Macaca fascicularis: one gene and its partner. The protein of the gene in region 1 purifies or fractionates together with the protein of each later gene. This does not show direct contact. Links are inferred from orthologs where the notes say so. Each region holds a gene or a part of one and is shown on either strand. Other genes may lie near its edges.

The links.
Region 2: the proteins of HAUS5 (region 1) and HAUS2 purify together in Homo sapiens (affinity purification with mass spectrometry; 5 studies listed by BioGRID and IntAct, with this or other methods). This does not show direct contact. The link is inferred for Macaca fascicularis from reciprocal best matches to the Homo sapiens genes HAUS5 and HAUS2.

Annotation. Positions count from the first base shown.
Region 1 is NC_088393.1:42,850,024-42,854,296, forward strand, and holds the start of HAUS5 (HAUS augmin-like complex subunit 5), read left to right. Parts: upstream 1-1,354; 5' UTR 1,355-1,401; coding exon 1,402-1,499; intron 1,500-2,351; coding exon 2,352-2,414; intron 2,415-2,489; coding exon 2,490-2,522; intron 2,523-2,653; coding exon 2,654-2,678; intron 2,679-3,588; coding exon 3,589-3,694; intron 3,695-3,773; coding exon 3,774-3,933; intron 3,934-4,273.
Region 2 is NC_088381.1:19,172,011-19,175,822, forward strand, and holds part of HAUS2 (HAUS augmin-like complex subunit 2), read left to right. Parts: intron 1-1,603; coding exon 1,604-1,712; intron 1,713-3,812.

The DNA of each region.
Region 1 (4,273 bases):
TGCCCGGCCTAATTCAACAACTATTTCGAAAGCCAGGCTCTGAACTGGACACCAAGGAGAAAGTGATGGCCTAGGCAAGCCCGCTGAGTGAAAGTTCCATAAATACTGCCTTTCCTCAGGGCCCGTCTTCCTCTGCTCTGGTCTCATACTGATGCCCACAGCGCATTCAGCTCTCTGACGGGGCCCAGCAGGCTCGCCAGAACTCCAGCCCTACTGCTTTCTGGGCATCCCGCAGACCTCTCACACCTGCTGTGTCCCAAACTGACCCACCCCTGCTGCTTATTTTTACCATCCCTACCTGGTGGTGTGTCTGTCTCCCCACTGAACTGTGAGCTCTGTACAATAGGGACAAGGGCTGTCGTGGTCACCATGTTGTCCCCAGCATCACCCAGCACAGAGTCAGCTCCCTGAGTTTATGGAATGGTAAGCACAAATGAATGGGAAAATGCATGCCAGGGAAATGTTAGGGTCATACTATCTGCCCCTACCCTCCACTCAGACATGGGACACCTGTTTCTGAAATCAAAGAGCAGTAAGTCCAGGATCTCATTCCCTGGTTCCAGTCCTCCTAGGCTGCAAGTCCCATTTTGTCAACAAAATAAAGGGGGCGGGCACGGTGGCTCACACCTGTAATCCCAACACTTTGGGAGGCTGAGGCGGGAGGATCGCTTTAGCCCAGGAGTTCAAGAGCCCAGAAGCTGAGACTAGCCTGGGCAACATAGTGAGATCCCATCTCTATTAAAATAAAAATGTTGTTTTTTTGTTTTTGTTTTTTTTTTGAGACAGAGTCTCGCTCTGCCGCCCAGGCTGGAGTGCAGTGGCCGGATCTCAGCTCACTGCAAGCTCCGCCTCCCGGGTTCACGCCATTCTCCTGCCTCAGCCTCCCGAGTAGCTGGGACTACAGGCGCCCGCCACCTCGCCCGGCTAGTTTTTTGTATTTTTTAGTAGAGACGGGGTTTCACCGTGTTAGCCAGGATGGTCTCGATCTCCTGACCTTGTGATCCGCCCGTCTCGGCCTCCCAAAGTGCTGGGATTACAGGCTTGAGCCACCGCGCCCGGCCTAAAATAAAAATGTTTAATTAAAAGAAGAAGAAGAAAATAAAGGGAAGCATCAAGGACTCTTTTGCCTCTTTCGGGTTAGCTGGTAGTGAGCGAGAGAACGAGGGAAGGCGGGCGGGGCCGCCGGCTCTCCACGCCCTTTTCATTTCCACTCAAGGAGACCCACCTGGGAAGAGTGAGCGCTGCAAGACCCAACCTTACCACGCTAAGGTTACTACGCAGCGCCGGAGCCCGCTGTCTGCCCGGCAACCGATGACGTCCTGTTGGCGCGTCCGTGACGTCAGAGGCGGGCGCCACACTTGAAGAGGCTGAGGGAGGCGGTGGCGCAGCTGTGGCGCTGTCATGGAGCTAGCGCGGGAAGCGCGGGAACTGAGTTGCTGGGCGGCCGAAGAGATGGGGGTGCCCGTGGCAGCCCGAGCCCGGGAATCGACGCTGCGCAGGTGAGGACCGCTCCTGGAGTGAGGACTCCCCACCCTGGAGATTGAGTCTCCGGGAGTGAGATCTCCACCCCTCATTGAGGACTCGACCCCCCGTTCCCCATCGAAAGTGACCCGAGTTACTGAGGGCTCCCTGCCCTGGGAGGCTTCCCAGAGTGAGGTCCCTAGCACTGGTGAGAATCCTCCACGAGTTAGTGAAGATCCCTCTCCGTATGGAAATAGGATCTCCAGGGTGAGGCTGTCCCCGCAGCACCTCCCCTTCCCACCCTTACCCCAACCAAAAAGGACACTCAGGAGTTAGCCGTGGCCACCCCATCGGGATTGAATCTGTAGGAGTGATGCCCCACATCTGGCCATGAGATGGCACTTCCTGGCAGTACATCCCCCACCTCCACCTCTGAATGTGACTGGATAACCCTCTCCCAGGAGAAAGGGAGCCCTCGCCACTCACCCCCACCCCCACCCCCCATCCCCCACCCCCGCCTTCCCGGGGAATGAGAATACCACCATACTTAGTGCAAAGATCCAGTCCCTACAAAAATAATGTTTTACCAATTAGCCGGGTGTAGTGGTGCCTGCCTGTAGTCCTAGCTGTTCTGGAGGCTGAGGTGAGAGGATCGCATGAGCCCAGAAGGTTAAGGCTGCAGGGAGCTATGATCATACCACTGCACTCCAGCCTGGGTAACAGAGCGAGACTCTGTCCCTAAAAAAAAAAAAAAAAAAAAAAGTTTGGGCCTTCCCTCCCCAAGAAGTGAGAACTCCCTAATAAAGACTCCCTACCACCATCACCTTGGGAATGAGGATCCCACACCCTGTGTGCTGCCCCAGGCATACGCTTACACACTGTCCCCACAGGCTGTGTCTGGGCCAGGGGGCTGACATCTGGGCCTACATCTTGCAGCATGTGCACAGTCAGAGGTAAGTTGGGCTAGAGTAGGGGAGGGGGCACAGGTGAGGTCCGTAGTAACTCCTCTTTTTTCCTCTGCACTGTAGGACTGTCAAGAAGATCCGAGGAAACCTACTCTGGTAACTGCTTCTTAAAGCTATCCCTTCCTATCCCCACTCCCATCTAGCCCTGTCCTCACCACAGCATCACACCTGTTGCCCTCCCCACTGGAAGCCCCACTCATCCACTGACTCTGGTCTCATTTTCCTAGGTATGGCCACCAGGACAGTCCACAGGTAAGAAGCATATGCTGCAAGATTCTCTTTCATCCGAAAAATGATTTGTAGATCTCCTGCTCTAAGCCCAACCAGGTGCTGGGTGATGCTGGGGACAATGGGTCACAAGATAGCCCTGATCCCCATCCTCATAGGGCTTAAAGTCCAGTGGAGATAGCATTAGCTCAGCTGGGAGCAGTGGCTTACACCTGTTATCCCAGCACTTTGGGAGGCTGAAGCGGGCGGATCACCTGAGGTCAGGAGTTCGAGACCAGCCTGTCCAACATGGTAAAGCCCCATCTCTACTAAAAATAAAAAATTAGCCAGGTGTGGTGGTGCACACCTGTAATCCTGTCTACTTGGGAGGCTGAGGCAGGAGAATTGCTTGAACCTGGGAGGCAGAGGTTGCAGTGAGCCGAGATCGCTCCACTGCACTCCAGCCTGGGCAATGCAGTGAGACTCTGTCCAAAAAAAGAAAAAAATATAAAGAGATAGTATTAGCTGGGGGCAGAGAGGTGGGACATGGATATGTGGCATCAAAGCTGCTGAGAAGAGATGAAGGGACAGGTTTGGGAGAGATGCTGAGGCCAGTGTAGGACCTAGTGGGTGTAAGAGGCTCATATGACACCTGAGGGGAGGCTTCCAGGAGTCCTTGGGACTTCTAGGTGCAGGGCTCCAGGAAGAGATCAATACTAGGACAAAGATGTGGTTGTCATCAGCACAGACAGGAAACAGGAAACAGGCTGGAAGTATGGGTAAGACAATCCTAAGAGGAAGGAGGGAGCCAGTACCCTAATGCTTCTGCGTCAGACACAGAAACTGCTGAGCAAAAACCCTTTGCCACCAGTTGAGGAGCCTGGTACCCCCAAAAGACAGGCCAGGCTGAACCCCGATCAGACCGTGCATCTCACCCTGAATCTGATCCTCCCAGGTCCGTCGGAAGTTAGAGCTGGAAGCTACCGTGACCCGCCTGCGGGCAGAAATCCAGGAGCTCGACCAGAGCCTGGAGCTGATGGAGCGAGACACTGAGGCTCAGGGTGAGCCATGGGGCCAGAAAATGGGCAACAGAATGTGGGCCGGGAAAGGTGCTGATGGCCACCCTTGTTCCTCCTACAGACACAGCCATGGAGCAGGCACTTCAGCACACTCAAGACACCCAGCGTCGAGCTCTCCTCCTCCGGGCCCAAGCTGGGGCCATGCGAAGACAGCAGCATAGGCTCCGAGATCCCATGCAGCGGCTGCAGAATCAACTGAGGCGCCTGCAGGACATGGAGAGGTGGGCCTCAGGGACCCACCCTCACCAGGCTGGGCAGCCAGACATTCTCTTAGAGACCTCAGGGCTCTGCCCCGATCCCTTCTTGGGTTCCAGAATTCTCAACTCCCACCATTAGGATGGAAGGTCCATGAGGCCAGGAGGTTTTGTCATCTCAGTCACTTATATTTCCAGTGCCTAGAATAACAGCTGTATACCTAGAACACCAGCTCTGGGGAAACAGCCACAAACAGAGAACAAGTCCTTGCCCTCCTGGAGCTTACACTGTGACACGGAGAAGACAGATAGTAAACTAGGAACCAAACAGACCCTATCATTTCTGGTAGAGATGAGTGCTGTGAAG
Region 2 (3,812 bases), on another chromosome or scaffold:
ATGCCTGTAATACCAGCTACTGGTGAGGCTGAGGCAGGAAAATCACATGAACCCATGAGGCAGAGGTTGCAGTGAGCTGAGATTGTGCCACTGCACTCCAGCCTGGGCAACAGGTGAGACTCTGTCTCAAAACAAAAAACAAAACAAAACCCCTTTCCTGTGGCTATATTCAGTATCTCTTTAGTACATTATCATTACCCTTAGCGTATATACTGTACTACATCTAAGAACTGGGCAATGATTTGAAAGCGTTTTTGCAAATGCAGAGATTCAAAGTAGCTTTCTATGTAGGCTATTTCAATGAAGTACATTTATTCTTATTGTCTTCATTTTTCACAGAGAATGAGTAGGTTGAAATGGAATGAGGCCGGGCGTCATAGCTCACGCCTGTAATCCTAATAATTTGGGAGGCCAAGATGGGTGGATCACTTGAGGCCAGGACTTTGAGACCAGCCTGGCCAACATGACAAAACCCTGTCTCTACTAAAAATACAAAAAGTAACTGAGTGTAGTGGTGCATGCCTGTAATCTCAGCTACTCAGGAGGCTGAGGCACAAGAATCACTTGAATCCAGGAGGCGGAGGTTATAGTGAGCCGAGATTGTGCCACTACATTCCAGCCTGGGCAACAGAATGAGACTCTGTCTCAAAAAGAAATAAATGGGGCCGGGCGAGGTGACTCATGTCTGTAATCCCAGCACTTTGGGAGGCTGAGGCGGGTGGATCATGAGGTCAGGAGATTGAGACCATCCTGGCCAACATAATGAACCCTGTCTTTGCTAAAAATACAAAAATTAGCTGGGCATGGTGGCATGTGCCTCTAATCCCAGCTACTCAGGAGGCTGAGGCAGGAGAATTGCTTGAACCCAGGAGGCGGAGGTTGCAGTGAGCTGAGATTGTGCCACTGCACTCCAGCCTGGTGACATAGTGAGACTCCATCTCAAAAAAAAAAAAAAAGAAAAAGGAAACAGAATGGGATTTTTTTTATCTAGGGAAATTCCTTTACTTATATGAGAAAATGATTATGATTAACATTGAGGTTTCTTTAACATTAAGTTGGATTCCAGATATGATTACTGTTATCTCTTTCCATTTTTTTATTGGATGACAGGTTGCTTAAAGTGAAAGAGAAGGACCTTTTTTTAATCACTAATATTTCTATGAATGCAGGAAGGTTGTTATTGGCTCTCTAGGTTGATTGTAATTCTTATCTCAAATTAAAAGTCCTGATTAAAGGAAAAGAAAAAGAACGCAAAACAATTAAACTTTAAAAAATGGTTAGGCCGGGCGCGGTGGCTCAAGCCTGTAATCCCAGCACTTTGGGAGGCCGAGGCGGGCGGATCACGAGGTCAGGAGATCGAGACCATCCTGGCTAACACGGTGAAACCCCGTCTCTACTAAAAAATACAAAAAACTAGCCGGGCGAGGTGGCGGGCACCTGTAGTCCCAGCTACTCGGGAGGCTGAGGCAGGAGAATGGCGTGAACCCGGGAGGTGGAGCTTGCAGTGAGCTGAGATCCGGCCACTGCACTCCAGCCTAGGCGACAGAGCGAGACTCTGTCTCAAAAAAAAAAAAAATGGTTGACTTTTTTCTTTCTCTTTCAGATATATGGTACATTTGCTGGAATTGGCTGTGACTTTCATTGAGAGATTAGAAACCCACCTTGAAACAATTAGAAATATACCTCATTTAGCTGCAAATCTAAAGAAAATGGTGAGTATTAATATAACTATCTTTAGTTATTTTATACTAGAATCTTAGAGGTATGCTCTCCCAGTTTAACTTTTTAATAGCTAATATTACGAGCTAGTTATTTTTTAAATCAAGAAGTGTTTTCTTGGCCAGGCAGGTGGCTCACGCCTGTAATCCCTGCACTTTGGGAGGCCGTGGCAGTTGGATTACTTGAAGTCAGGAGTTGGAGACCAGCCTGGCCAACATGGTGAAACTCCATCTCTACTGAAAATACAAAAATTAGCTGGGCATGGTGGTGCACGCCTGTAATTCCAGCTACCCAGGAGGCTGAGGCAGGAGAATTGCTTGAAACTGGGAGGCAGAGGTTGTAGTGAGCCGAGATCGTGCCACTGCACTCCATCCTAGGCAACAGAGCAAGACTCCATTTCCCCAAAAAAAAAAAAAAAAAGAAGTGTTTATTTAGACCTTGGATTTAACATTTTCTTTTTCATATAATTTTTCTTTAGAAGCCATTTTAAATTCTTTTATTCCAACATTTAATAAACATGTGTTGCCTTCATTGTGCTGTGGCTATGCTACATGTATTGTGAAAGATAGATATGACCAAACCCTGCCTTCAAATTCTCAATGTTTGGTGAGACAGCTATAAAATATGTATTTTCTACTTTATAGGATTGTATTTGCATAATCGATGCAGCAGAGAATTATAAAGAGATGCCATCTATTGAGCATAGAAAAGAGAGGAATTACTTCCAGTCTAGGAGGATTCTGAGTAGGATAGGGGTAGGAAGACTTCAATTAAGTTTTTGTTTTGTTTTTTAAATAGAGACGAGTTCTCACTATGTTGCCTAGGCTGGTCTTGAACTCCTAAGCTCAAGTGAGGCACCTGCCTCAGCCTCTCAAAGTGCTGAGATCACAGGCATGAGCCACCACGTCCGGCTTCAATAAAGATTTATTTAGGTGTTAGCAGTAAGCCGAATCTTTTTTTTTTTTTCTGAGATGGAGTTTCACTCTTGTTACCCAGGCTGGAGTGCAATGGCATAATCTCGGCTCACTGCAACCTCCGCCTCTTGGGTTCAAGCGATTCTCCTGCCTCAGCCTCCCAAGTAGCTGGGATTACAGGCGCCCACCACCACGCCCTGCTAATAGTTTGTATTTTTAGTAGAGATGGGGTTTCGCCATGTCGACCAGGCTGGTCTCCAACTCCTGACCTCAGGTGATCCACCTACCTCGGCCTCCCAAAGTGTTGGGATTAAAAGCCTGAGCCACTGCGCTTGCCAAAGTAAGCTGAATCTTCAGGAACAGGTGAAATTTAAGTATGGGGGAAAAGTGATACTCCACTTTGGCTGGTGCCTAAAGGTATTGAGGAGATTAGCTTAGGGTTAGTTTATGCAGTGCCTTAAAAACCAGACTAAGAATCTTAGACTTTACTGTCTGAGTATTGGGGAGCCATTGGATATGTGTGTGTGTATGTGTGTGTGTCTATGTGTGTGTGTGTTTTCTTTTTTTAGTGAAGGGTGCAGAGGAGTGACTTGATTAGAACTGTGCCTTAATCATGGAGAAAATACTGGATAGAGCAGACGGAGCCTTGCTACTCCTAAGTATGGGCAGAGAGTATCAGCATCACTTGGAAACTTGTTTTAAATACAAAACTACAGACATCATGCACCCTAGACCTTCAGAATCAGAATCTTATGTTTTAACAAGCTCCTCAGGTGATTCCTGTGCACATTAAAGTTCGATCAGCTCAGGCCAGGCGCAGTGGCTCACGCCTGTAATCCCAGCACTTTGGGAGGCTGAGGCGGGCAAATCACAAGGTCAGGAGATCGAGACCATCCTGGCCAACATGGTGAAACCCCATCTCTACTAAAAATACAAAAATTAACATGGTGTGGTGGCGCACGCCTGTAGTCCCAGCTACTTGAGGGGCCGAGGCAAGAGAATCGCTTGAACCTGGGAGGCAGGTTGCAGTGAGCCGAGATCGCGACACTGCACTCCAGCCTAGCGACAGAAAGAGACCCCGTCTCAAAAAAAAAAGTTTGATCAGCTCTGGGTTAGAAGACTAGGCAGAGAAACCAAAGGCAGAAAAACCTGGAGACTAATTTACAGTCATTCAGATAA